Linked DNA regions of Oreochromis niloticus. The protein of the gene in region 1 interacts with the protein of each later gene in a pairwise test. Links are inferred from orthologs where the notes say so. Each region holds a gene or a part of one and is shown in the gene's direction. Other genes may lie near its edges. The genes, in order: eif1ad, glyr1, stx11a and stat1a.

The links.
Region 2: the proteins of eif1ad (region 1) and glyr1 interact in binary tests that used the Homo sapiens proteins (3 or more experiments, as listed by UniProt). The two-hybrid records come from large-scale screens. The link is inferred for Oreochromis niloticus from reciprocal best matches to the Homo sapiens genes EIF1AD and GLYR1.
Region 3: the proteins of eif1ad (region 1) and stx11a interact in binary tests that used the Homo sapiens proteins (3 or more experiments, as listed by UniProt). The two-hybrid records come from large-scale screens. The link is inferred for Oreochromis niloticus from reciprocal best matches to the Homo sapiens genes EIF1AD and STX11.
Region 4: the proteins of eif1ad (region 1) and stat1a interact in binary tests that used the Homo sapiens proteins (3 or more experiments, as listed by UniProt). The two-hybrid records come from large-scale screens. The link is inferred for Oreochromis niloticus from reciprocal best matches to the Homo sapiens genes EIF1AD and STAT1.

Annotation. Positions count from the first base shown.
Region 1 is NC_031966.2:32,617,060-32,624,049, reverse strand, and holds the start of eif1ad (putative RNA-binding protein EIF1AD), read left to right. Parts: upstream 1-3,977; 5' UTR 3,978-4,161; intron 4,162-4,191; exon of another isoform or gene 4,192-4,318; intron 4,319-4,413; 5' UTR 4,414-4,445; coding exon 4,446-4,532; intron 4,533-5,271; coding exon 5,272-5,380; intron 5,381-5,786; coding exon 5,787-5,895; intron 5,896-5,990; coding exon 5,991-6,225; 3' UTR 6,226-6,990. Other genes in the region: ctsf (cathepsin F), read left to right, coding at 1-3, 128-247, 441-505, 2,029-2,119, 2,237-2,295, 2,538-2,612.
Region 2 is NC_031969.2:563,655-571,102, forward strand, and holds the start of glyr1 (cytokine-like nuclear factor N-PAC), read left to right. Parts: upstream 1-4,447; 5' UTR 4,448-4,566; coding exon 4,567-4,604; intron 4,605-5,614; coding exon 5,615-5,651; intron 5,652-5,730; coding exon 5,731-5,810; intron 5,811-5,893; coding exon 5,894-6,032; intron 6,033-7,448. Other genes in the region: ppl (periplakin), read left to right, coding at 1-848. UniProt on the Homo sapiens protein: Cytokine-like nuclear factor with chromatin gene reader activity involved in chromatin modification and regulation of gene expression. Acts as a nucleosome-destabilizing factor that is recruited to genes during transcriptional activation.
Region 3 is NC_031983.2:20,446,870-20,454,431, forward strand, and holds the start of stx11a (syntaxin-11a), read left to right. Parts: upstream 1-4,551; 5' UTR 4,552-4,834; intron 4,835-5,993; 5' UTR 5,994-5,998; coding exon 5,999-6,880; 3' UTR 6,881-7,562. Other genes in the region: syntaxin-11-like, read left to right, coding at 2,402-3,253. UniProt on the Homo sapiens protein: SNARE that acts to regulate protein transport between late endosomes and the trans-Golgi network.
Region 4 is NC_031986.2:20,027,851-20,035,514, reverse strand, and holds the start of stat1a (signal transducer and activator of transcription 1a), read left to right. Parts: upstream 1-4,645; 5' UTR 4,646-4,801; intron 4,802-7,189; exon of another isoform or gene 7,190-7,242; 5' UTR 7,243-7,245; coding exon 7,246-7,373; intron 7,374-7,664. UniProt on the Homo sapiens protein: Signal transducer and transcription activator that mediates cellular responses to interferons (IFNs), cytokine KITLG/SCF and other cytokines and other growth factors.

The DNA of each region.
Region 1 (6,990 bases):
TGGGTAGGACTAAGATTTTATTCTGTGTTTAGCAATAAGTAAAAACAGAGGGATGTTTTTACTGATAACACAAGCAGATTTTTCCTTAAAGTGCTTTCTTATAATCTTTGCCCCTCGTGTGGTTAAGGGGGTCTGGAGACTGAAAGTGACTACTCCTACACCGGGCACAAGCAGAGGTGTGACTTCACCACCGGGAAGGTGGCCGCCTACATCAACAGCTCCGTGGAGTTACCCAAAGATGAGAAGGGTGAGCACACAGAAAATAAATGTGTCAACAAAGTGGCAAGACATCAAATAGAGTTTATGAACAGACAACAGTGGTTTAACTGCATGGACATGTCAGTGATTTTACTCTTATTCTAACTGTACTGTGATGCTTTAAAACTAAGGGTTGTTAAATTGACTCATTTTGATTTATTTTTGTATCTTTTCTTTCTCAGAGATTGCTGCTTGGCTGGCTGAGAATGGGCCAGTCTCTGTTGCTCTGAATGCTTTTGCTATGCAGGTAGGAGGTTTTTTAAGAAGTTAAATCACTCCTCAAAACAACAAGAAGCAAAGCAGCTCAGTCTTTGCACATTGTTTATTTTTAAGAGGATGAATTCATTTTCTTTGTTTTTTAGAGGTACTTGAAGAAGTTTATAGTGCAGTCAAAACTAGAGAAGGGTATCAGTGAGTATGTGATAGATAATAAGTACTGATTTGTAAACAACTGGACATGAATAACTTGAGCTTATTATTTAATATTACTAAAGTATATTTGTGACTAACTAAACAGCTCAGTCTCTTAACAATCCTCTCTTTAAAGACGTAGCACGTTTTGGGGTCAGCTTGAAATTAAGACGGAAATGTAAAAGTGAGGTCAGAGGTCAAATGTGATGTGATATTTAGATGCAAACTATACTGTGATAGTTAGAATCCCCATTTATCATTCTATTGTCTTATATAAGAGTATAAAAATACATTGTCATTATTAACAATGGCAGTCAGAAACTGAGTTTTAAATCCCGCTATACAACATTAACCTCCTAGGACCTGCCGTCCACATATGTGGACATCACATTTTTGGTTATTTAGACCAAAATACTCAATTTTTTCTATATGGGCCTGATATCCACTTACGAGGACATTATACTGCTACTGTTCTATCAAAATTTTAAATGAATATCCTCATTTGTGGCTCTCATTTTTCTTAAAAACAAAAATAAGGTAAAAAAAAAAAATCTGGAAATTCTTTGTTTTTACATTCATCGGGCCCCAATATGACCAAATATCAAAGAGAAATTAAAAATGCATGCCGTGGAAGAGTTCGGGTCTTAGGAGGTTAATATCACTTTGACCTTCAGATTAGTCTGTTGACCTTGACAAAAAGGTCAGAGGTCAAATGTGACATCATATTTTAAGTTTTTATACAGTATTTTCTATATGTTGACAATACACACTGCACTTGTAAGAGTCATAGTTTCTAAGTTATAAGGCTTTTGCTCATTTTTTGTTTGTTTGTTTTTTTACCAGTAAATCTTTACATTGAACTTGAAGACTTTGGTAGATGAAAGCTAAATTTTAATAGATCATTAATGTGACCCCAGCTCCTTAGTGGAGGTGTCAACTAGGAGTGGAATAAAAATATCAGTAGAATATGTCACGTTGCCTCCTTGTGTAATGTTGGTTTATACGTTACTGATTTATTAAAACATTCCTAACCCCCACCAGTTTGACTTATCAGAGTCAGTACTTGGTGATGGTGCTTATCAAACAGCAAAGTTGTATGTAGATCATTTTCTTGCATGTGTATAGTATCGTGGGCAGTGTATTGTTACTGTATCATATCAGAAGTGACATATTTCCTGCCCAAATAAGAGCAGTTCTTATTCTTACGCTTGTTTATATTGCTGCTGTTGTTAGCTGTTATTATTATGCGCTCCAATCACCTCCAGACTATCTAAACTGGACATAAAAGATAATAAAGATAATAATCTTAAGATACATGTTATTCTTACATTATCTTGAATATCATTTCATTCCCTTCAGTTTTACAGGAAGGGTATATCTCACCCTCTGAAGATTTTCTGCAACCCCTGGATGATCGACCACGCTGTGCTGTTGGTGGGATATGGAGAACGTAATGATTATTTTTTTTATCCCATTTTTTAGTCTTAAATATTTGCCCAGTTTCTGGAAAGCACAGACACATCTTTTTGCCTCGTTTGTCAACAATGTTTCCCCCCTGTGTTCTCAGGTAAAGGTATTCCCTTCTGGGCCATCAAAAACAGCTGGGGGGAGGATTATGGAGAGCAGGTGAGACAGCACGACCTTTCAGAAAACGTATCATTCTAAAACTCTTTCATTTGAAACCAACTACATGACTGAGGATCACTGACATAAAGCACCGTTTTCATAACAGACTCAGTAGAAGTGCTGATCCGTGCACTAGGCTTTACAAAGCTGACTGTTGTTTCATAGCATAGTGAAAAAAGGAGTTCTGTTCATATACAGCCGTGAGGGAGTGAGTGTTAATTTGTTTTTTCTCCTTCACACAGGGTTACTACTACCTCTACAGGGGCTCCAATGCATGTGGGATCAACAAGATGTGCTCATCTGCTGTAGTCAACTGAACCCCTAACATCTCCTACAGACACACACACACACATCATCATGCTACATGCACCACAGCTGTCAGTGGACCCCAGCTCCACATCACTTATCCAGAATGCACAAGAGCTCAACACGCACACATGTGAAGTCCTGCTGATGTTTCTTCTCCATTAAACCAAACCAGTGTTTTACCAGCTCTAATAAAGCTAGCTTTGATGTGATACTGAAACTTTCTAGTAATTTTAAATCAAGATTAAATCTGCTTTTTCTGTTAGTCCTGAAGCTTGGTCAAAATGATTAATGTGTTTAAGGTAACAGCTTGTAAGTCATCTTTACTTACAGTAACGGAGCCCATGCTCATAGTGGTGAGCTGATGGTATGTACTTCAAAGAGTTTTTTGAAAAATAAAGCTTTGATTCTGGAGTGGTTTACTGCACAAACTCAGTTTAGTGCAATGTAATTGCAATAATAGCTGTATAACAGTGAGAAACGAATGATGGGAGTTGAATAAAACAAAAGTGTGAAATCCAGTTGTTTGTTATTTTATGATCTGCCTATCCATTTTCTTTTGCTTATCCAATTCAGGGTCACTGGGAGGCGCTGGAGCCTATCCCAGCTGCCATGGGGTGAGAAATGAGGTAAACCCTGGATAGTCACAGGGGTAACACAGAGAGACAGACAACCTTTCACTGGAAATTTAGAATCACTGATTTACCCAACTGCATGTCTCTGGACTGTGGGAGGAAGCTGGAGAACCCACAGACGCTCAAGAAGAAAATGATGGATTCAAACCCAGAACCTTCTTGCAGCAGTGCTAACCACCACACCGCTGTGCTGCCCTATTTTATTATAACGTTTTTCATGTGCACTGAAACTATATACTGGTTGACAGTATAATTAAACCATTACTTTATATAATTTATTTAGTGCATATATAATAACTTTAACCATAAGGCAAAATTAACTTCAAATAACTACAGTGACAATAAGACCTATAAAGGGAGAAAACATTTTAACCTGTTTATGATTTTAAACGGTATGTTGGGAAGAAGCAGGACCATTACATACATAACGTAGGGAAATACTTTGAACGACAGAGGAGCAACAACGTTCGTGTTCTTGAATGTTCCTTTAATCAAAACAACCTCATTTTCCCACAATGCCAAGGGAAGGTCACGGAACAGCTGGTCTTTAGCAGTAGCTTCTAAAATAAGAAACAAAAGTCGCCATAAGTTAGTGATATAATCTTACAATGAATCACAGTGCATCCTGAAGTAAATTTACATCATTTTCATCACATTTTACCCAATCATTGACAGGGCTTTTAGCGATAACATGAACATTTTACACGTATGGAACTTTTATTTTGAAAATATAGCCCATTTGACATCGGAAGTGTAACATTCCCTGTCTTTTCCCCCACACTGTACTGCAAACAAGAACGCATGTCATTTAATTTTTTTTGTGACTGAATATTTCAGTTTCTTTTTCTACCCGAACTTATACCTGCTGCTCGGAGACATATTCTGACTCAAAAAGACAAACAGCCACTTCTTTCTTTCTTTCAAGGTAGTATTTAACCTGCTAATGTGGAGACAGCTAATGTTAGCATTTTCTGCTAAGTTATCCGTAAGCAACTACTTACTGTTTAGAAGAAACTTGGCAGAGGAAGTTTAAATTATTTATTTATAGAGGCTCATAAAGGAGAAATAATTAAGTTTCGCTGGTAATCACATTAAGCTGACCTTTTAGTGTTGGTTGTTACTGTTACGTCTAGTCTTTAGTTAACTTGAACTTTCGACCCACTCCTCTCTTTCTCAGCTGGCGAAGGAACGTGAAGTCTGCCGGTTATAATGTCACAGGCCACTAAACGCAAACACGTTGTCAAGGAGGTTCTTGGAGACTTTGTCACACCCACAGAAAACCAGCAGATCGTGAAGGTAAACTTTGTATAAAGTACCCTGTATTTCCTACATATTACAACACTCACATTTTAGTAATCAGCAGGATACACTGGATACTTAATTAGGTATAGATTGGAAGTACACGGAAGATCCCCATTTGACTTCAGCGCTGCCTTAAAGTGGACATGTAACACTACTTATAGAAAGGCAAATTTACACTGTGTAGCCCTGCTCTCAAAAACTGATATAGATTTAACACAGTCTGTGAAGCTTGATTTAAGAAATAAGTGCTTTACAAACCCGAACATTACAGAGCCTGTGCAAATTATAGCCTCAGTTTCCTGTTCTTAGCTGACACCTGACCCAGTGTGGTCTTCTGCGGCTGTAGTCCCTTTACTCCAAGGTTTGATATGCTCTTCTGCACATCGTGGTTGTAACCAGTGGATATTTAACTGTTCTCTATAAATTGTAGAGATGATTGTGTCTCACATCAGCAGTTTCTGAAAATATTTAGACCAACTTGCTGACACCAACAACCATGCAACGTTCAGTGTCACTTAAATCGTTTTTCTTCCCCATTCTGATGCTCAATTTGAACTTCCGCAGGTTGTCTTGACCATGTTCACACGCCTAAGTCCATTGACCATCCTCTCCCACTGTGATTAATTCATTAAACATTTTACATTAACGAGCAGTTGAACAGGTGCACCTCATAAAGTGGCTCTTGAGTGTATTTTTCTGATTCTGTGTTTCATCTGCTTCTTTACATTTACAGGTAACTGGGAGCCGTGGTAACAACCTACATGATGCTGTCACAGCTCAGGGTGAGACCTTCTTGGTGAGCATGCCCACCAAGTTCCGCAAGAACATCTGGATCAAGAGAGGTAAGCAATGGAAAGGGAAGTTACGTGGTTAAAACTTCGAGTAATAATCCAGTGACAGCTGGTGGCAGATGTTATTGCATTTTGTGGCTTGTGGCACATACGTTCATGCTGCACTGTGTGTGCTGCTTTTGGGGGAGTTTTTTTGTGGGCATACCAGTTAGTTTACACTTTTGATATTTTACTGCACCTTCCTCCAGGTGCAAACTTATCAGCTGCACATCCATAATGTATACAGTACAGTGAGCCTCGTTGTCATGGTATTCATTGCCTTTTCAAAACAAAAGAACAATATATATCATAGAGCAAACATATAGGTTAGTAATGTGATCTTCCTATAGCTAGTACTGGTCTAAATAAGACCCCCATTTGTGTTTATTCATTTAAATGTTATCTTCTGACTCCAAAGGTGACTATGTGATTGTGGATCCTATTGAAGAAGGAGAGAAGGTGAAGGCAGAGATCAGCTTTATTCTCTACAAGGATCACATTCAGTACCTACAAAAACAGAACCTCTGGTAGGTGGAAACACACTGCATAACCTTTAAGTTTCTCCATCGGCCTCATTATCACATGTTTTGCACTTTTTACTGGGTTTTTTTCTTGTCTCCAGGCCAGAGGGCTTTATGGACGAGCATTCGTCGCAGGATAAGACAAAGAAAGAGCTGGAAAAGGATGAGGACGAGGAAGAGGATGCTAGCGATTCTGAAGATGACGATAGCGACCTCTTTGTAAACACTAACCGCTGTAACTGTCAGTACAGTGAAAGTGAGGAGGATGAGGACGATAGCGAAGAGGAAGAGGACGAGGATGAGGACAAAGAGAAAAGGAGGGAAAATGCTTCATAGCAGCAGCACTGAGGACACGGACAATCAGGAATTGTGAAACAGATGTGACAGCATGCTCTTCTGTGTCGCTGTCATCACTGACTGATGCTACGATGATCTGAAGTAATGGTCCACCTGCAACAGCGCCCTCTGCAGTTCATGTACTGAATGGCTGGGCTCATTCAATGAACTTAGTAATTCCTGCTTGTTTTACAAATCTGTGAGATTAAAATGTAACTGAAATTCAACATGGGATACATTTCTACTGTTTTTTGTGATGATAGGTCCATTGCACATCGCTGGTACATTATATAAAAGGGCACACAGTATATTTGTACGATGACGTTAAATCTATTCAATCTTTTCCGTAGAAATTTGTTTAATCTTTGCTGCCAAAGAAAATCAAAATGTCTTATTGGCGCTGGACATGGTTCTAAAAATGATTGTATCAGCTTGAGTTACAAATGAATGTTGTTTTATTTTTCTCTTACCGAGCAGCAAAGGTTAATTTGTGAAATGACTGAAAAGCTCTTGAAATGGAATAAATCCCAAGCAGAATATGGTTATGTCGCACGGGCTCGATATCCTCTTGTGCATGTTTCCATCTTGCCGGATTTAACACTTAATCCTGAATGCATCTCATTATTATGCAGTCAAGCAGCCATCTCCTCCGGAAAAAGTTCTGCAGGCGTCACACTAGCACATCTGTGGAAAAAAACTACAATATATGGATTCTTAGAAGATTACATCACAGTATCGCCAGCGCACAGAAAATTCCAACTGCAA
Region 2 (7,448 bases), on another chromosome or scaffold:
AGTTGAATGCCCTTATTCAGCAGCAGATCACCCTGGAAAAGGTAGATGTGAAGGAAAGGGTTGTCCGCACTGAGAAAGTCCAAGTTGAGCGGGACCCAGAGGCAGAGATTGAGATTGAGAACCTAAAGAGAACTCTGGAAGATGAGAAAAGAAGAAGGCGAGAACTTGACCAAGAACTATCCACCCTCAATTCCAGGCTCTCTGATATGGAGTTTTCTAACACCAAGTCTACCAAAGAATTGGACTACATCCGTGATGAAAGTAGCCGATTGCAGCAGGAAAACCAAAGGCTGCAAAATGAGATTCGCAAGCTTCGGTCAGAGATTGAGATCACAAGCAAAGAGACTCGGCTTATTACGGAGTCTGCGCCAAGAGAGGATTCAAAGAACTTGGAGTTGAGGCTTGATTCATTACAGAAGGAATTGGCAGAGCTGAGGGCTGTAACAAACCAGAAGGATGATGAAATAGAGAAGCTTAAAAAGAACCTGGCAGCTGTGAGGATGAAGAGGGAACAGAGGGAAAGCCATCTCCGCAGGTCTATTGTCGTCATCGACCCAGATACCGGCAAGGAGATGCGACCAGAGGAAGCCTACAAACTAGGGCTGATCGACTGGAAGATGTTTGTCAACCTGCAGAGCCAGGAGTGTGACTGGGAAGAGATCTCAGTCAAAGGGCCGCAGGGAGAATCCTCTGTGCTTCATGACAGAAAATCAGGAAAAAAGTTTTCCATCGATGATGCACTGCGCCTTGGACACATCACAAATCGCCAGCTTCAGCAGTACTTAAATAAAGAAATCTCTATCCAGGAGTTTGGTGCATTGGTATCAGGCAAGAACAGGGGGCTCTAAAAGATATGTTTTTGATTTTCATTCTAAAAAAAAATCTGTTTTGACTGGTCTTCCTAGCTTTTAATATATACTTATATTCTCACTTTAATATTGTGGTGACCCTCAGTTACTATGTGTTTTTACCTACGAGTCCCAAATACACCATGTATTTATTTTCTTATGCATATCTGGCATGAATACATGGACTGATATTACCATCATCACAGCCAGCTACATAAATTTTTGATGATGAAAAGTTCGATCTTTAATTTCTTTAACTTGGTGACAGGGTTAAGAATGTATCTTTGATATATTGTCACTAAAACTCACAAGAGTACTAAGTGTTTCATTTATTTATGGGCTTTAAACAGGGTTATCGGCTGTGTGCTTTCAATAAAAAATTCAATAAAAATGTAATGTCTTGTGGGGTATTTGATTGTGGAAAACATGTATGGAATTTATGGTATCACAATTCAATTTTATTTATGTAGCACTGAATTACAACAATTGCCTCAAGGCAGTTTATATTGTAAAAAGTAAAGACCCTACAATAATACAGAAAAAACAACAACAATCGGATGCCCCTCCCTCCCATGAGCAAGTGCTTTGACAGTGTGAAGGAAAATCTCCCTTTTAACATGAGGAAACCTTCAGCAGAACCAGGCTCAGGGAGGGGGCAGTCATCTGCTGCATGCAACTGGAGAGGAGGGGAGGAAGACAGAACAAAGACATGCTGTGGAACCGACCCAGAGATTAATAATAACTAATAATTAAATGCAGAGAGTGAATTGCATTACAGGAAGCTCCCAGCAGCCTACACCTATTGCACTGTAAATATGGGAGGATTCAGCATCACCTGATCCAGCCCTAACTATATGCTTCATCAAAAAGGAAAGTTTTAGGCGTAATGTTAAAAGAAAAGCGGGCGTCTGTCTCCCGAATCCAAACAGGAAGCTGGTTCCACAGAAGAGGAGCCTGAAAGCTGAAGGCTCTGCCTCCCATTCTACTTTTAAATACTCTGGGAACAACAAGTTCATAGGGTAGCGTGAGAGCAAAGTGCTCTAATGGGGTGATATGGTACTATAAGGTCATTAAGATAAGATGGGGCCTGATTATTTAAGACCTTGTATGTGATGAGAAGCATTTTAAATTCTGGATTTAACAGGGAGCCAACGAAAAGAAGCCAGTAAAGGACAACCACACTCTCTCTTTCTAGTTGTTGTCAGTATATTCACTGCAGCATTTTGGATCAGCTGAAGGCTTTTCAGGGATAGAAATTAATTCAGGGACGAATCTACTGTGGTGGCACAATCCATAGTTGCCACCATAGTTATGCATATGATTTGTTATGAGTGTTGTTTATTAAAATAAGCTAGCTACAATTAACAATGAATATAATTTCTAAATCTGAATGTATTGCATAGTGCTCCCCCACCACCACCATTAAAAAATGGTTCAGCCCTAAGCGTTGAAACGGCTTTATTTCTTGTCATTAGTAGCAATCAACACCATGGGCATTTAAGATTGATTGTTACACTCTGGAAATGGAGTGAAGGTCCATCCATCCATCTTCTTCCACTTATCCGGGGGCAGCAGCCTAAGCAGAAAAGCCCAGACCTCCCTCTCCTCAACCACCTCTTGTCCGAGAGAACATCAAGTTGTTCCCAGGCCAGCCAAGAGTTAATCTCTCCAGTGTGTCCTGGGTCTGGCCCAGGGCCCAGGAGGCATCTTTGTCAGATGCCCAAACCACCTCAACCGGTACCTTTTGATGTGGAAGAGTAGCGCCTCTACTCTGAACCCCTACTTCTGAACTCCTCACCCTATCTCTGAGGAAGAGGCTCGTTCCCACCGGGAACAAGTTCGACTTATTGCCGGCTATGCAGACCAAGCTCTTGGAACAGTTGTGTAGGGAGCAGCAGGCCAGACACCCCATACTCGCGAAGAACACCTTAGGGACACGGTCGAATGCCTTCTCCATGTCCACAAAACACATGTAACCTGGTTGGGCAAACTTCCATGCACCCTCAAGTATCGTCAACAGGGTAAAAAGCTGGCTTCACAACATCCAGAGCCTTCAGGAACTCAGGGCAAACCTCATCCACCCCAATTCTCAAATAGTTAAAATCTTATTTGTGAAGGAATTTATGAAATCGTTACTAGTTAAGGTTAAAGGAATGGTCGGCTCAACGGAGCTCTAACTTTCTGTCAGCCTGTCTACAGTGCTGAAGAGAAACCTAGGGTTGTTCTTACTTTCGTCAATCAGAGAGCTTTTCTATAGTGTGAGAGTTGTACCAGGGAGTCAAGAACTGACTTAGAAACTGACGGAGGACAATAAACAGCACATTTTACACAAGTTGCTTTTTTAAACTATTTTTTGGAAGCTGAAAAAAAATGTTTTATCAGGATCAAAGTTGTCAAAGTTAAGTTAAATAAGGGATATCAAATTCCAGTATGCAGTCTTGTTTATCTAAATACAATGTGAAAATGGCTTGAACTGATGAGGTGTGATCTCAATATTCACAGAAAGTGCTAATGTAAGATGAGAAAACTGGCATGTGTTATGTGTTACTCTAAATATACTGCTTTAATCACAACAAGTGGATTTATATTAAAAACAAAGAAATAAAACTTAACTATGACAAGTTCACAAAATGAGATGGAGCTCCTTTCTTACCGATGCAGTACAGTGAAAAACCCTTGAGTCACCGTTTGTTTCTATTCCATCCATCAGTTTTTTATCCGATTCAGGGCCTCTCACCCTACGACAGCTGGTGAGAGGCAGGGTACACTGTGGACAGGTCACCAACATGCAGACATGTTCCATGCAGCCTCCTTCTGCACCCTGCATATTCATCTAAGGTGAGTGCAAACAAGGAAGACAGTCCTGCTGCACTCCACCATCCAGATCATTACTGTGTCTTCCAGGTTTGAGGTGCTAGGGCCAGCAGCCACAGGTCCCGGGGAAACTCCGCGGTACCACCACAACGGCAGGTGACAGCTCTCATTACTGGTGACTCAAAAATTAGAAATGCCAAAACAAGCTCAGCATGACAAAGATTCTTGGGCAAGATACGGAATCCAGAGTTACTCCTGATACATTCATCGTAGTATGAATGTGTGAATGTTAGACAGACAGAAAGATGTCTTTAAATGATGAATAAGACATGCTGTGTAAAGTGTTTTGAGTGCTCACGTAACGTAGAGAAGCATTATATAAGAAACACTCCCATTTACTGTCACCGCACACCTGTGTAGAACAACCTGAATCCACCTCCAGTGCTCCTGACCTTCCTTTCCACCTGCTCTCCTGTAGATATAGCTGCCTCCACACTCTCACAGCCTCCTAACACACCCTCCCTCCCTCTTCGTTTGTCTTCAGGCAGCAGCAGAGTTGGCCGACCCTATGTGGAAAGCGCATTTTTGTAATAATGATTCGGCCAAGGTTTTTTGGAGGATCCCCTTCCCGATGTAACCTTTCCCGTTTCTGCAGGCCTGGGACCAGCGTGTGGCTCCCCGTGGCTGAGTCATTTCTTACTGTGGATTTATATCGTTATGTGTGTATGAAGGACATGCTGTAGATATTGTGCATGCTGCTGTTGCTGATGCTTCAAACGTGTAGTAAACAACAGAGCGACGGATGTGACGTATGAGAAAGGGGTGGGGCTGGCCTCACATGTGATTAGTGGGTGTGTGTTGTCTTTTCCTCTCATTCAGTGCGACGTTTTATTAAAGTTGTAAGATGGCGACGGTGCATCTGAGGATCGGGGATCTAGTGTGGTGAGTAACCTTTACACAAGGTTGAGTGCTCCGGTTCCTGTCTGCGGACCATAGAGCAGAGCTGCATTAGGACGCGTGGCAGTGATGTTTCTCCGTGGCGTAAACCAGGTGTAATCCTTGGCAAGTGTTTCCCGTGCTGGGTTAGTGGATAGCCGACCCAAACAAATCGCTAACCGAGCTGACTCAGCCTGCAGCCGACGTTAGCTGCTGGCTAGCAAACAAGCTACAGTAACGGTTTAAACCCAAACTAGGCAGGTGTTTTTCCCCACGCAAACTTGTCTTTGAAGATCATTTTATTCGCCGTCGTGTGTATGTGCAGACCTACGTTAAACGGACTCAGTGCCTCGGCTCGTGGAAATGTTGTGGTCTGTGACGATCTTTGCTAGCAGCAGAGCCTGAGCGGATGTCTGCGCTCGGCTTCCGTGTTACTGCGGGCGGGCGCATTTGCAAGTTTTTCGTAAAGGCTAGATTTCCACACATTTACGCATTTGTTTGTGGAGACCGTTACACCGGCACCACGGGAAGGGTGACAGACGATGCAGTTAGCAATCTGAGTGAAACCGGGGCGAACAAGTGCTGAGGAGACGAGGGCAGTGTGCGGAGGCTCGGGGACAAATCCCACCGAGCGCCGCGAGCTGGTCACGGGTACACGGGCACTGATCAATACAAGCCATCTCCGCAGTCTTCGAATCCTGCTGTTAGCAGTCAGACTGCGAGCTCAATGCTTGTCTTATGGTGCTTTTAGTACCGAATCAACACCGCTGGGGTTTGAGGCGGGCAGCTGATGCTACACAGACCTGGGAATGATCCGCGCTTGGCCCAGTTTTTCTTTATCTGACAGTTCATGTAGAGTCAGACTTTGGATGTCACTGATAATGTTAGCTGATGTATCGTTGCCAAAGCCACCAGCTCACTGTGGAACTGCTGAGCAGAGATATAAAGAACAGTGAGCCTGAGTGCTTCTCTGTGAAGATCACGGGCTCGGTGCTAACTCTGTGGTCTTATTTCAGGGGGAAGCTCGGTCGTTACCCACCATGGCCAGGAAAGGTAAGGAGCCACAGCTTGTCCACGCGTTTGTTAGATTAAGAAAATGATGCTAACGTTACACTGAACACTCTCGTTTCAGATAGTAAGCCCTCCCAAGGACCTGAAAAAGCCCAGGGGCAAGAAATGCCACTTTGTGAAGTTCTTTGGAACAGAGGACCAGTAAGTATGGATCATCAGCTTCCTGTTCTGGCTAACCATGCTGTGCCTTCTCCAGCTGATATGGGAGAGTTGTGTGTCTGCAGTGCCTGGATCAAAGTAGAACAGCTGAAGCCGTACCATGCCCACAAAGAAGAGATGATCAAGATAAATAAAGGAAAGCGCTTCCAGCAAGCTGTTGATGCAGTGGAGGACTTCTTAAAGAAAGCAAAGGGGAAAGAACAGGTGAGCCAGGACCTCTGACACCTAACACCGAGAAGATGCAGAAAAGTCACAGTCTACTTAGATGTAACCCCCAATCACGTGACGACTGGAGTTTTCTGTTGGAGGTTTTAAGTTCATAGCAAGCAGCACCACAGTAATTTGCCTAATTATAACTGAGCTTTTTGCTCAGTGTCTTTATTCACATAGACTGTCTACAAACAGTTGTGGTGTGTTTGTTTTTCTTTGTTTTTTTCCTTTCTTAATCAAAAACGTTAAAAGGCAGTCGTGTGCTGGGATTGGTCAGAGAAGTGACAGTGAGTCTGTGGCCACGTCCCCCCAGGACCCACACCTGTGGTGCTGCATGCTCTGAGCTCTTTGTAAAACTCAGTTTGTATGTGGAAATCTTCACATGCTGATGATGACGATGGGGCCTAGTAACCACACTAAAACAACACGAGCTGCACCGGCAGGTGTGCTGTTTACAAGCATAAACCTGTAGCTACAGAGTGCAATGGTCACACAGTGAAAGTGGAGGTGGTCCCGCCTCTTTACCCAGGTTTATGGAGATGAATCAGTCTGTTAGAAACGGTGCTCCTCTGGATATCCAGTCTGCCTGCCATTCTCACCCTCGCCTACAGTGTTGCACATCACACGTGACATCACGTCGACTGGCTCAAGCAGTTCTTTGGGATTCCCGCTAGCTTTTTCCAAGAGAAGGTTTTAGCAGTGATACAGGAAAGATGCTAGAAACATATTTTCTTTTACTCGACCTGAGCTCACCGTCTCAACAGCTCCGACTCTTTGCTCGTCGCGGTGTGTAACAGACTTTTTGTTTAAAACTGCTGGCTGCGTGCGCTTAATGTTGGGAACGTTTCTAATCAAAGTGTTGGAGTTACTCCTAGATTAGTTTGCTCACTGACCTCGTCACCAACACAATTTAAAATGTGTCCAGTGCAGCCAATCACAGAGACCGTCTTCCTGTCGGGTTCGTTCAGTCTGTTGGTGTCAGCAGCTGTGATACTGCTCGCACAGCAGAGCACACACTCCCTCTGCCTGTGGAAGCAGAGCCTGCTCGTCCTCTTCGCATACAGCCTTTGTGTTGGTCTGCCGGTTCAGCCTGTTGATGATGTGGATGCCCAGGTTCTTGGACTTCTCCACCACATCAACATCCCACGGGTGGTGTATCCTTCCTCTTCCTTTTGAAGTCAGTCAGCATCTCTTTTGTCTTATCCACATTCAGAAGAAGGAGATTCCTCCCATAGTCCAGCACTAGTACATCCAACCACTGCAGCTTTGTCACAGCGTGTCTGTAGGTGGCATGACCCAGAGCTGTACTGAGAGTCTGAGGTGTACACGATGAACAGCTGTCAGTAATCCACAGGTCGTAGGACTGTTCAGGACCGACATTTGCTGAAGCTTCTCCCCTGAGAAATCAAA
Region 3 (7,562 bases), on another chromosome or scaffold:
ATCCCAGTGACTCAGAAACTCAGTAGGCTGATGGAAATTACTGCTCATGTACATGCAGCCTATGCACCGAATGATCTATCCAGCTTGAGTTTCTTTTTCTGGCTGCATGACTGAAAATCACTTGATGGTTGGTGGCTTCACACTTAGATTGTGTTTCATGAAACAGGAAAGGATGTAGAATTATTAAATAAAGAAGACAAGGCAGTCTTTCTTGCCTTCTTCTTTTTCTTTTTCTTTTTTTTTAGACTTGAGTTTTTATCATATAAGAACATTTTGGTCCCACCCCTCTGGAAGATAAGCTATCTCAAATACTTCCTCTTTATTTTTTTTAACATGTTGTGTGTCCAAAGTCAGTGACCTCTATCCGTGATGTTATCTTATATGTGCTTTGTCAAGGCCTCAGCACAGCCATTTACCCCCTTCATTGCCATTTCTGTTGACAGAAAACAACACCCGAGAACGCTAAAAGTAGTGCAGTAAAGGTAATGATAATAGAGGTGAAATGTAAGCAGGGGTGCTTCATCTTTATGTTAAATCGCTGACAAGTATGGCTTTGTCCTACTGTACGTCACCTCACGTCTCCACGTGACACGAGAGGAATGCAGAAAGTTTTGTTTTTAAAAACCTTTCCTCATAAGCAGGTCTATCAGAGATGATGGTTAACAGTTTTAAAAAATCACTTGCTCTTAAAGCAGACGTCACTCTGCTAACTGGACTGAACTCCTGTTTTCATGATCACCTTTAACTACAGAGGACAAGGAAGTCTGAAACTCATCTACAGCTAACTAAGAACACTACAAGTAAGATATAATAATTATATAATCATAGCGTTATAGGTTTTATATTCTTTAGGTTTGCTCAGGGGGCCTTTTTAGTGCAAATGTTGTCAGCACAGCATCCTGCTACAAGACATTAAACTGTTAGTGAGTTTAAACTGCATCTGATAGAAAGGGAGAATTTTTCTTGATGAACCATCATCATCAAAGAAAAGGGCCAGTACTGGCAAAATCATACACCTATGTCCATGTACTTTACACTGTTAATGTTTACAGAAAGTATTCAAATCCCAAATAAGACTTTTTCAGTGCTCAGAATAATAGATTATGTTTAAATATGTAAAATGTGTATTATCTATTGTAAAAATCATTTAAATCCAACCAGACTTCCTTGTGACTGAGTTCATGTCTGCTTTGTATGACGGTGATCAGTAACATGATTTGCTTGTCTTCTCTTGTTTTTTGTTGAGTTAAGCTTAAAATATTATTATTATTTTTGTTTTTTGGGGGTTGGGCTTTTCAGGAAAGTAGGAAATGAGAGTGTTAAAGTTCCTCAAGTCCAAATAAAACCTGGGCTGCTGCATTCAGCCTTGAGGCTCACGTTTACCTGATCTGCTTGGGACCTAAACCGTCACCAAAGCTTAAAACACTTTAATTCAAAGTTTTAGCACTAACAAAAAAATCCAACAGCTCCTCTGTTTGAGAACTTGTTTGGCAAGTCTTTGACAGACTACATGTCCTAGTGGATCAGGAGAATTCATCTAAGATTACTCGATACTGGAGACGTAGAAAATGTGCCACGCTGCTATGCACTGATTACAAAACCTTTGTGTTTTATTTTGTAAGATGAGCTTAACAGAATAAAAGCTTTACAGTTATTAGCTGGGAAACAGCTTTCTCTTGGTGTTTTTCTGTTTTTTTAAATTGCATTTTTCTTCTTAGCTTGTACAACAGGAAGCATTTATGTCTTCAGCAGGGATGTTACAGTTTGGCCTGTTCGGGGTAAAAAGGTCAGGCAGTGTCAGTCAGTTCAGCAGTTCAGTGGTTTAATTGGTTGTGATCAATTAAACCAAGTTTGAAGAGTAAATATTTCCTTAAATTTCAGTTTGAAATTTTTTATTCATTCACTTTGTAAAAAAAGAATAAAAAATAAAAGCAGCTGCAAAGCTTATTGTATATTTATTTTTAATCAACACAACATGTGTAATTTAAAAAAGGCATTGCACGTACACACAAACCCACAGATGATAATAATCTCCTCAGCTTCGTAATGGTGAGGGTTTTTTTTTTTCACTTTAAGACACTCACTTCTCCCATCGTCATCATTTTGAACTGCTGCAGATTGCTTTTTTCTGAAAAAGCAATCTGCTCACACACACACAGACACACACCTAGCTGTTCAACATAGCTTAATTTCAACTTTAGCAGGCAAAGAGCCAAATACCTCCCTTAGAAGCTGAAGACTGGCCTCAAACATGATTACAAATGAAGAATAAGGTTGCTCATTGCCTCTAAAAGTTGCTAAACACTAAATATATTGTTTGTGATGCTTTTTTTTCAAGTCATGGATAAACCTTTTCTCCCAGATGAGTAAATCTACCTTTTTTTTCTGTTTCCTTCCAGCCATGAGAGACAGACTGGGACACCTGCATCAGGTCCAGACTGACACTGAGGGTTTCAGTACAGTGGAGCTAGATAACCTATCAGATCATGATGCAACAGCTGGAGATAATGAGCTGGATGATGTCCTGAAGGAGGCCCAGCTGATACGTCTGGAAATCCAGCAGATCCAAAATGACATCAGAGATCTGAAGGACGTGAACTATCAGGCTTTGAATAAGACTTCAGACTCCATTGTGATAAAACGGGACTCCAATGCAATCGGGGCAGATATTAAACGCAGAGGAGAAGCTGTGTTGCAGAGGCTGCATATGCTAAATAACCTCAGAGGTGAACTGGAGGTCCAGCGCGGCAGTTTGGACCCCACAGTGCGCGTTGCTCGAACACAGTACCACTGCCTGAGCAACGCTCTGCGGGAGGTGATGTTCAGCTACAATGACACAGAGATGAACCACAGGGAAGCCTGTAAAAAGCAGATCCAGAGACAGATGGAGATAGTGGGCAAGGAGGTTAGCATGGAGGAGCTGGAGGAGATGATGGAGGGTGAAGAACTGACTGTGTTCAGCACCCAGATACAAGGCAAATCTGCCCGGTCTGCCCTCATGCAGATCGAGAGCCGGCACCATGAGCTGCAGGAGCTGGAGAAAAGAATCGAGGGGATCCAGGAACTGTTCCTAGATGTGGCTGTCCTCATGGAGGAGCAGGGCACAGGAGTGGAAAACATCCAGAAAAATGTTCAAAATGTTGATGTGATCATTCTGGAAAGCAGGGTCTATCTGGATAATGCCACTAAATCTGATAAAAACAACCCTTTCAAGAAGATGTTTTGCGGCTGCTTTCCATGTTATCACAATTAGGCCTTATGAAGCTTTTATTGATTCTAAAATATGGTGAAACTTTTAATGAATCACACTGACTTCCAGGATACACCCACAGATGGGTGCACAGTAGATGGCGCCACTAATAGAAAGGTTTGAACATTGATGGTGATGAAGCCAAGTTGGGCTGGTCATCATAAAACAAGACCCACCAAGGTGCTGATTCTCCGTTTCTCTGGGAAGGGCCCCACTTCCTGCAAGCCTGAATTGGATAGGTGCTTAAAAAATAGATGTATAGTGAAATATTTATTTAAGGCATTTATCTGTAAAAGCAAAGTGCAATTGCTAATCTAGAGCTGTTAATATTTAACCTTAAATCTTTACGTTAGGTGATTTTAGATTGTTATTTTAGGTATATTTAGATTTTATGTGATTTTATGTGAAAGTGTAATGTGGCCTTTATTGATAGAAGTATAAAAGTTTAGCCATTAACAGGCTGGTATGACTACGACTCCTGTAACCATTAATGATTTCTTCCTGTAACTGTATGATACCAGTCAAAGGACAGTGTCAATAATCTGGATATCAGCCTATACTAAGTCTGTGTGACTTGTCCTCCTTAAGTAAAATAATGATTTAAAAAAAACCTTGCGTGAGTATCCCTTCTTCATTTCAACTTGATCTTTATCATCTGTAATTTTACATTGCGAGTACTTCAGCTTTTTAAATACTCTGATACATTATCAATTTTTCAACACAGGACTGTTGCAGCTGACTAAATGGAGCAAATGGCCATAGCACTTCTTCTGTCCCTACATATAAGGCAGTTATGAAGGCTTTTTCTTGCCCAACTACCAAAGAAAATTGCTTATTACAGGTTACAAGACTCACAGTGTTGTAACACTCCCCCCCCCCCTCCCCTTTCTCTCAGAAATGTAAATTTTAATACTCGATGTATATTTTTAGCATTGTATTTTTAGACCTGATCATTAAAACCACATGTAAAATATTGGGGTTGCACTTTCCACTTGTGTCAAACACTTGTTCCTGAACACTAAATGTGTTTTATGTTGAGGCTTTGCCCCCGTTTTCAAGGTTAATGTTGAACTTCTATTCGCGTTTTTATATTAGTATAGTAAGCTGAATTTCTTTTTTTGTCCTTCTTGTATTCTTTTCTATCTTCACAGCGAAGAGTTTAAACTAAAATGAAAATGACTGAGATTCGTGGTCGACTCATAAGTCTAAAACGTTTTTAGAACACAAAACCTTTATTGCGCAAATGCCAAATGCGCACGCTTTGACATAAAAACACACCATATAAAATGACTGTGACTGACCTACACCTCCTTCCTGGAATCAAACCCGAGAAGCAGTGAAATGTGTAAAGGGGAAAAGGCGTTATCTTCCGCATTAATACCCGCTGCAGGCTATATGGGCAGTGTAATGTCAGCGTGTCACTTGTAATGTATAGGACGTGATGCAAGACCTCCTTAAAATTCTAAGTTGACTGTTGAAATTTGCATTTATAACCGAGACAAAAAGAGGAAATGACTCTTTCCGTACTCGCCCCTTCTGCTTTTGGGACTTTAATTCTCTAATATCGGTGGAGGACACAAAAAGGTAGGCTGTGTGCACCTTCTGTTGTACTCTCTATGTAGATATAGGCTCAGTAATCGATACATTGGTGTATTGTGTCATATAGGTCGATTTCTATATCAAAAAATTGCTTTCGAGCTATTCTGTTTCCTCCCGATCTCACCTTATCACGGGAGAGGATGCTTTGCGCTTCTCTGATGTGGTTTTTTCATTTTAGTGAGGATTTTTAACATTATCTACATCACAGTACACCTCAGGAATTGATTCGTTTAGCAGGAAATAACCGCGAATGAAGGACAGGAACTTTTAAAATAACTTCTATCTGATGATGATGTGAGTCACACAGCTGAGGAAGTAACTCGCCAATGCTTTTGAGGACTTTTCACTGACCTACAGCCACCTTGCATAGCACATCAAAAACTGTTATCGTTATCTAAAAGTGAGACTTAACATTAGTGCCTTAATATTAATAATAACATATCAAAAGAAGAACTCAGTGTCATACCAGCCCCTTCCTCTCTCTGTTAACAGGAGGATTCAGTGCAATATTGAAAGGAAATTACCAAAGAACAGTAGATTAATACTCATGCTGGTCACATTTATGTGACCCATCTTATTTGCTATTCAATATCCAGTTTCATTCAGTAAGTGACTGGAGATTTTCCATACATTAAAAATAAATAAATAAATCTGGGACTTAACTTGTGTAGCTTTGTGTGATTCACATTTCAGAATAAACCTGTCAGATAAGCCATTTTAAGTCCTCTCTCCTTATGGCCGCCGACCTTTACCCCAATTTTCTTCTGATTAGCTGAAAATAAAAGGCTTGAATACAGATGGGTGGGGCTTCTGTGCTCAAGGCCAGAGACCTGTGTGCCTGAGATGACTATGTTAAGGATATATGTACAAAGTGACGTCATATAGAGCTGAGAGTAGAAACAACAGTCCAAAGCCTGGTTGTTTTCTTACATGTACTAATATCACTATTTGAAACTTTTGCTTTGTTTAATATGAACAGTATACATGTGACAGGAAATAAGATGACGAGGAGCAAAGCCAGCAAAATAAAGTTGTGCTATGAGAATTTTTGATATCAGTTTTTTTTAATGTAGTTCTTCAGAGTAAAGAATGCATTTCCCACAATTCCATTAGAAAGGTGAATAAATGTCTGTGACTCTTGCAGGTAAGATGAAGGACCGACTGACTGAGCTCCAGGCCTTCACGCCTGCAGAGCAGGAGTACAAGCCCACGGAGAACGAGAGACTCACCGGTGAGGATGAGAAGCCTCTGGAGCAACACGCCATCGTGTTTGAGGGTGAGGACATGATGGATGGCATCTACAAGGATGCCCAAGTGATGAGGAAGGAGATCCAGTTGCTCAGAATGGATGTGAAACGTCTGGGGAAGCAGAACACCAGGTTCCTCACATCAGTCAGGAGGATCAGCAGCATCAAGCGGGACTCCAACGCACTGGGACGAGACATCAAGGCCAGAGGGGAGTCCATTTATAAAAAGCTGGAAAAAATGGGGAAGCTGAGCAAGGAGCTGGAGGAAGCCCATGGTGTCACATCAGCTTTGGCTCGCATGGTGCGCTCGCAGTATGTGTCTTTGACCAGCGCCTTCCACAGTGCCATGTCTGAATACAATGAGGCTGAAATGGCGCAAAGGGAGAATTGCAAAACCCGCATCCAGAGGCAAGCAGAGATCATGGGCAAGGAGGTAACCAGGGAGCAGATAGACGAGATGATTGAGACGGGCAAGTGGAATGTCTTCTCGGATAATCTCCTACTGGAAGGGAGGACTGCCAGATCTGCTCTCAACGAGATTGAGAACAGGCACAAGGAGCTGCTGGAGCTGGAGGGCCGCATTAGGGACATTCACGAGCTTTTTTTCCAGATGGCGATGCTGGTGGAGCAGCAGGGTTGCATGCTCGACAACATAGAAGCAAATGTAGGGGCAACACAGGACTATGTAGCCAAAGCTTCAGCGCACATCAAGCAGGCTAAAATATACAAGGAAAGCAATCCATGCAAGAAGCTGTTTTGTTGTTGTTTCCCGTGCTGTAAATGAGGCGCCACCAGTTCCCGCACCCTACCAGAACGTTTGATTCAAATCCGCTTTCCTGCAAATGTTTCTGAATGCTTACATGAAAGCTTTTTGCTGCTCTAGATGTGTCCAGATATCACATTCTGGTATCATTTTCTTTACTGAGTTGATACCAACTAGTCAGAGTGATTCAAACCACATGCACATATGCAAATATATACAGTGCGATAATGGTAGTTACATTTCCTGATTGCTACTGAGAACAGCTTATGCATACACGACTGCTGTAAAAACATCTAAATTATTATTTCATGTGGCTTGCAGCTTTGTTTAGCTTTTAGCTTTGTACAGTTTGGAATGCGGCATGCAATATTTAAGCCCATATAGTATGATTTTATTTATAAATAAATGCCTTGGAGTGGCTATATTTGGACAACTTGAATGTACATCTACAGCTAAGCTCGGAACTGGTACTTGCTATAGACGTGTTTCTTATTGCAACCATTGCTTCACAAGTGTGTAGAAACACTGATCACAGCTCAACCAGCAATTGTGGTTAGCTGGGGAGGCAAGTTAGATTTGTGAGGATTGTGCAACTATATGTTAGCCACCCCCAGCTACAAGCCAAGGCTGTGCTTTTCCTCCACGTGTTGCTTCACATAAAAAAAACACAAAAATATTTGTGTGTCAGCTCCACTTTAGAGAG
Region 4 (7,664 bases), on another chromosome or scaffold:
TTTATTCTAAATGCTGCTACCGGGGAGCTGCTTTTTGTTGAACCTCTGATGTTTAATGACAGTAAAAGGATTCTGATTTATCTGCTGTGACATGGTTTGCGATGGTTTCACATTCACATAGCCCGTCATCCGCCGGTTGGTGCTGTGCGATACTGCAAACTTTTGGTATCAATCCGATACCAAGTGAATACAGGTTTTGCAGATACCAATACCAATAGTTTTAACCTATAAAGGGAAAGCAGTGTGGAGACGTGGTTTGTAAATATGGCTCTCTCTAAGCCACTCTGGGTTAGTTACTGTTGTTTAAATGTCTTATAGGCTAGAAATACAATAGATGTGACAATCTGCATGTCCCTGGCCAATTAGTAGATTGCAGTCTGTTGACATCATGTTTTGGGCTTGACTAGGCTCGCTTGGGACTCCTAAAAAAGTATTTAAGTACTAAAGAAGTACCTAGTACAAGGTGCTAACACCTAATGGAAAACCCTAAAAACTGAGTCGAGCTGAACTAAGCCAAGCCGGCTACAGCCTAACATAGAGATGAAGAAGTGAACCATCACCTCCAGAGAGCAGCAGTCTGATGTTCAGTGTTCACTGCATCTGCTGATTTTCAGACCTTGAAGCTGTTTGTGAGTTCCCCTTTGACAGATCAGATCCACAGCAAAAACCAAAGAGAAACAGAACATGAGTGGCAGTTTGAGAAATTATGAAATCAGGATTTTTTATTTTTGTTTAAGCAGACGGTTAATGAGGAAGAGGAAGCAGGATGTGGAAATTAACAGACATGTCATTATTAGACCAGCAATGTTAAACTCATTTTACATTGTTGGCCACATACAGCCTACTTTAATCTTAAGTGTGCCAGACCTCTGAAACACCCTTTTCTATCAATATAAAGAAATTTAATTACACATTTATTTTCTGAGATATCTTAATATAAGAAAACAAAGGGCTATTTCAACATTAGGTTTCAGTTTTTTCCAAAGAAATGCTTCTGTAGTAAATGCATGAAAACTGCCAACTCTTAAATTGAAAACTCTTAAATTGTAAGACATACACATGTGAAATTAGAGAAAAAGTGTATCCATGTGTACAATGGAGAGTGTGCAGTGGATACACAGTGGATACATTGTGAAAAAACAAAAAAAACAAACCCAGAAATTTTTGTAGTGGTAAAAAAAAAAAACAGGAACTCCCAGCTTTACCCACATCCTCAAAAGATCTGAGGATCTACAAAAAAACTTGAATTTCACAGTGTTGGCAGTCAGGCTGCCCAAATTCACAGGCTGCATCCACCTGAGGACCCACCTAAATATAACAGGACACTGGCGTAAATTCTCGACCATCTCACACTTCTGTTTAATCAGTTTTCTGTTTGACGTTTATTCAGCTGTGTGAAAACCCCCGGAGGAACCCTACCAAGGGATTAATAAAGTTTTATTTAATCTAATCTAATAATTTTAATCTCAGCCAAACCGATTTACTCAGGAACAAATAAAACACTGAAAAAAGTAAAAAGCAATAACATTTTTAGGCTATCTAAGTGACTTATATATCATGTTTAACCTGAGTAGCGAAAGACCACGGGGGTTTGAAAACGATGTGCCGGGAGTTCGCTGTTCTCGCCGGCTCAGATATTTGAAGTTTACTCAGCTACATTCTCGCCTGAAAATATGCTAAAAGTTTAGTTTGCAACCCAGAAAGAGTAATAAGAGTAATATTAAACCTGAGTAGCTGCCGCCATTGTTGGAAACTGGAATTGGCTGGGCCATGCTATGAATTCTGGGATATGGTTTTTCATTTTTGTTGTCCGGGTAGAAAATCAGGAGAAATTCGGGAGAATGGTGGCTCCGGGAGATTTTCGGGAGGGGCACTGAAATTCAGGATTCTACCAGAAAAATCGGGAGGGTTGGCATGTATGCCTGTCGCCTTGACGTCTGTGGTCATGAAATCCCTTGAACACCTGGTGTTAGCCCATGTGAAGGACATTACAGGCCACCAGTTGGACCCTTTGCAGTTTGTCTACCGGTCAAACTGGTTGGTGGATGATGCACTGCTTTCAGCAACTTCATGATAGCCTCTAGAACAGGGTGGGGAACTCCAGGCCTCAACGTCCGGTGGGCTGGCCTGCAGGTTTTAGATATCACCCTGGGTCAACACACCTGAATCAAATGATTAGTTCATTACCGGGCCTCCAGAGAACTTCAAGACATATTGGGGAGGTAATTTAGCCATTTAAATCAGCTATGTTGGATCAACGACATGTCTAAGGACCTGGCCCTTGAGGTCTGGAGTTCCATCCATTCGCTTCCGCTTATCCTTTTCAGGGTCGCGGGGGGCGCTGGAGCCTATCCCAGCTGTTATAGGGCGAGAGGCGGGGTACGCCAGTCTGTCGCAGGGCTAACACACAGGGACAGACAACCATTCGCACCTAGTAGCAATTTGGATTATCCAATTAACCTATCCCCACAAGCTGCATGTCTTTGGACGGTGGGAGGAAGCCGGAGTACCCGGAGAGAACCTACGCAAACACGGGGAGAACATGCAAACTCCACACAGAAAGAACCCGGCCTGATGGTGGAATTGAACTCAGGACCTTCTTGCTGTGCGGCAACAGTGCTAACCACCGTGCCACCGTGCTGCAGGTCTGGAGTTCCACACCCCTATTTTAGAAGGTTCCTAGCATAGCACAAAGAAACAGGGAACCAACCCTTACTTCTACTAGGATAATAAGAAACAGGTGATTGATTTATTGAAATCTGTCATTCTTCAGAAATAGTTCTTCAGGTTTCTTGAAGAACATTCAAAGCTCTTCTTTGGATGTTTCTGCCTTTTGTTCTGTTCTCTGTCAACATGATCCCACACTGCTCCAATAATGTTGAGGTCCGGGCTCTGGGGAGGCCAATCCATGACTGATAGTGTTCCACTGTGTGTTTTTTCTATCCACGTATGTTTGTTGCATTGGCAGTGTGTTTGGGATCATTGTCATGAAGAAAAATTAAACTGTTTCCAATCAGATGCTTTCCAGATGGTATTGCATGCTGGATCAAAATGTGATGGTACTTTTCTATGTTGATAATTCATCAGTTTTTACAAAGATCTTCAACATCACTGACTGAAATGCAGCCCAAACAATGTCAGAGCCTCCACCATGTTTTACAGATGACTGTAAACACTCACTGTACCTCTTTTCTGCCTACCGGTCTGCATACTAATGATGATTAGAACCATAAACCATAAACATTCAGATCTGGATTCATCACTCCATTAGACCGGTTTCCACTTACTTTCAGTTCAGGCCTTTTCTTCCTGTTTCCCTTCCTGTTTAAGAATGGCTTCCTGACAGCCACCTTCTACTGAGACCATTTCTGATGAGGCTTCGGTGAACATTAGATGGATCAGCTGAAGGTCCAGATGCATCTACCACTTCTTTTTTTCCTCTGAAAGAATTAAGTGAAGTGAAAATTTAGCTAATGCCCAAAGAAAACCTTTGAGAGGTCTTTGGAAAGCCTGGGGAAATACTGCTCAAAACCACTTAGAAAATTACAGGAAATTCTGCTTCTTGGAAGAAATGTGGGCTGGGTCAAGGAAGTTTTCAACTTTGTAAAATATAAGAACTTACCTTACAAAGAAGTAATATTAGTGAAATAATTACGTTTTAAAACCGGTGATTTTTTGTTGTCGGTACAAGATTATAACTTTTTACGGAAGCGTAGAGCTGCCACCCAGGCAAAAGAAAAATAGAAGTATATCACGTTATAACGTGAAAAGTTTATTGTTCTAACAAGATACTTTTCATGTTTGTACAATATACTATCATGTTTGTACAATATACTACTATGTTTGTACAATATACTTTTGACGTTTGGACAATATAATATCACGTTATTACAATATGCATAATTATTACGTTCGTACAATATAAATATCACGTTCGTACAATATAAATATTGTACGAACGTGATATTTATGTATATTGTAATAACGTGATATTATGTTGTTCAAACGTCAAAAGTATATTGTACAAACATGAAAAGTATCTTGTTAGAACAATAAACTTTTCACGTTATAACGTGATATACTTCTATTTTTCTTTTGCCTGGGTGGCAGCTCTACGCTTCCGTAACTTTTGATATTTAGAGTGCAATAATTATTATTTTTTTCTAATTTTTTTTTAGTTTTTTGTTATGTTTTTTAAATGCGTCTTGTTTTAATCAGTTATTGTTTTCTTATTCCACAATTTTTGCACATGTCAACGATCAAACAGAACTTTTAAGTTAAGTTTCAGTTTCAGAGTTGTAGGCGTCCTTGCCGCTTTCTCTTTCTCTGAAAACACGTGGTCACTCTCGGCTCTTCTGTTTACTGACTTTCTCCCTCCGAAAAGCCTGCGTCATGTTGCTTTAAACTAGATTAAAAATACATTTTATGTACAGTGTCGTTCTCTTTAACTGTGTTCAATGACAAAATACATATTGACTCTTCATGTTATGCTTACAGGGGCAGCTTTAAATAAAAAAACACCCTCTGTGTATTTTTTTTTTAAGGCATGCTTGGTAGCTGTGAAGAACAGCCGTTTTTCCCTCTTTGTGATTGGCTGTCTCATGGAAAAGGGCGGGGGCTTGTCGTAAATGGTGTGCGGTGATTGGCTGATAGTGTTTCCGTAAAGTAAGCTGCGCCACTGGAGTAGAAAAAAGGTAGGAGAGCTGTGTGGCTTGTTTCTGGCACATTTAGGGACTCAAGCGTTTTCGGAAACACAACTTACTTCCTGTGGAAGCTTATACACGTTACCTTTACATTAAAGGTAAGTTACACGACTTACATGTTCAAAAGGTGACGTTGTTTTATATAAATCGCCTCTGTGACCTTTTATTTACACAGCAAGCCGTGCTAGGGGAGCATTTAAACTTGACGTTGCTAATCGGTAATGCTTAAAAAAACGACTCCTGGAAACACTTAACGGTAGTTTACGCGATATAAGCGTTCCTCTGTGTATGTTGTAATATTTGTGTATCTGTCCGTAGCCGTTATTTAAATCAAATCTTAACTTTTTACACGCTTATGTCCATACCGCCCACCATTAGGGGTCCGAAACGTAAATAATTACCCGTCAACCAAGTGTAAAATGGGATCTTAGTCGATGTGTAACACCAGATGAATTATTGTATATGCCGATCGCTCAGGTGAGGCACCAACATGTAGAGAATCTATTGAGTCTTGTATTGTTAGACGTTAAAATAAGGGCCTCTGCTTGAAATCCTTAAAAAGACACATTACCGATTAGAGTTTGGCTGAGGAGAGCTAGAAAGGACCACAGGGCTGCCTTAAGTGACTTGGGGAGCCAGAAAGGGATCATGCTCTAAAAATGAAAGCTGTGAAATTGACTTATTGGCTATGATCGTCTTGTGAATGTGGAATTAGGTCATATATCTAGATAGACATACGTTTAAATACTCTTAATGATATATTTTTAAACTGATGCTGGAGGCAAAGTTGCATTTGTGGGGAAACTGAAACCTAAGCTGACCTTAGACGCCTCCTACATTCAGGTTTAGCCACTTAGAACAAGATAAATACAGATAAGATTGAGTTTGATTTTTAAAAAAGTAAACAACAAAAAGGTTAATTTGTCTCTTCTTTAGCTGTCAAACAATCCTGTTTTACAATATGGGAATTAATCTGTGGAGCTAATTACAGCTTATGAGCTTCAGTGTCTATGAAATCCAGCTGCTTTTAACAGAAATCAGTGTTGGATGTTCCTTTACATCATCACACACATATCTTTCTTTGCTTTTACTTTCTGATCTTAAGTCAGAGCAGAACTGAGCCAGGAAGGAGGCAGGTGGCAGCCCGTGACAATCCTCGAGTCAGCACTTATAATTTCAGAATTTCTCACACTAAACAAGCAGCTGGTTTTCTGTAGTGAGATAAATGTTTCGGAGCTTCCTGACCTTTGTCTTCTGTCCACAGTGCTGCAAGGAGAGTCAGAAATAAAAAATTATTTTCAGTTAGACCTTCAAATTATTGAATTATCCTCATATATTTATGGGTTTAAGATGACTTCTTGGAAAACCAAGCTCTGAACAAATGACTAATAAATGTTTCCTTTATTTATTCAGGATTATTACACACATCTACATTGTATATAAACTTTAACTGGGTATCCACATCTAGCGAATTCTCAAAAAGCATAAATTCCCTTTAAAGGGTTTTTAAAAAGTCTCAGATTTCTGCCACTTTTATCTCACAGCCTCATGATAATAGATTCTGTATGTTTTTATTAACTGTTGTGTGTCTACAGCTGGAGACTGCAGACAGAAATGTGACATACATGTCAATAAATTCACACACATGATCTGCATTTGTGGGCATTTAATAATCCGGCTAGAGTTTTCTTCAATCTTTGATGACACACCAGTGAAAAAGTATATAAAATCAGACTTTTTCTGCTCATTTCCAGCTCCATATTTTCACTCCTGGACTCTGCTAGAGTAGCTTTGCATGATTCCCAGATCAGAATAGTCCTTATTTATCTCATACTTGGTCTCCAGTTCATCCTCTGTCTAAGCTGTTTTTGCTCCTTCACTTTTAAGCTGGCTTTCCTCTGATTGGCTGCCCCTCACTATCAAGACTTTTGTTGCACATGTTAAAGATATGTGCCCTCCATGACATAAAGATCAAAGAGTAGGAAAATAAATTATTGAAACTGAGTATTTAGAGCAGTCGGAGGCTACAGTGATTACTCGCACATACACTGTCCTCATTATTTGAAGCTCTGTTGGATGTTTCATATCAACATCCACCACAGAAACAGGCTATGTATGACAGCAAAACCACTTTAACATTTCTTATCTGTGACACTAAAATGGCAGATAATCTTGCCTGATGCTCGGTAGAAAAACCTGTATATATGTAGCCACCTTCTGTTTTTTTAGGAAAATCATGAAGCTGAGCATTTTGGCCACCACCTACCTGTTGATTTGAAACTGATTACCTCTTATTTCTGACACTAATACAGCTAAAAAGCAATAAAGTTAAGTTCATGTTATATTAGCAAGATGTGAAAGTACAGATTTAGGCAAATAAATTCACCAAGAGAGTTTATTTTATTGGCATCACTGAGCAGGGGAAGAGGCTACCTGCTGGTCATTAGTAAGAATGCAGCTTTTAGACTCTCCCGTCTTTTATGTAAGCTGTGGCACATCGTGCAAAAAACGTCCTGACAGAGCTGCTTTCATTCACCAGAAGATGGCGCAGTGGGGCCAGCTTCAGATGCTGGACAGCAAATACCTGGAGCAGGTGGATCAGCTGTACGATGACTCGTTCCCCATGGACATCCGGCAGTACCTGAGCAAGTGGATCGAAAGCATCGACTGGTAAGAAGTCCGAATAAAGGGCAGCGTCTTTTTTTTTTTGCCAAACGTTTCTCATCGACTCGTTTGAACCATTAAAAAGTTGTATTTATTGTAATACCTGTACTGATTTACCTAAATTTTTTTATCTGGCATATCCCCTCCATACAAAAAAAAAAATAGAGGAAAAACTAACACTGAAACAAGAAAATCAAAGGTTGCAAAGTAAATCAAAGCAAAGGTTAAACCGGATGTCCTGATGGAAAAGAAAATTGTAGGTGCATTTATATCGGGATCGTAGCCCAAACAGAAGCG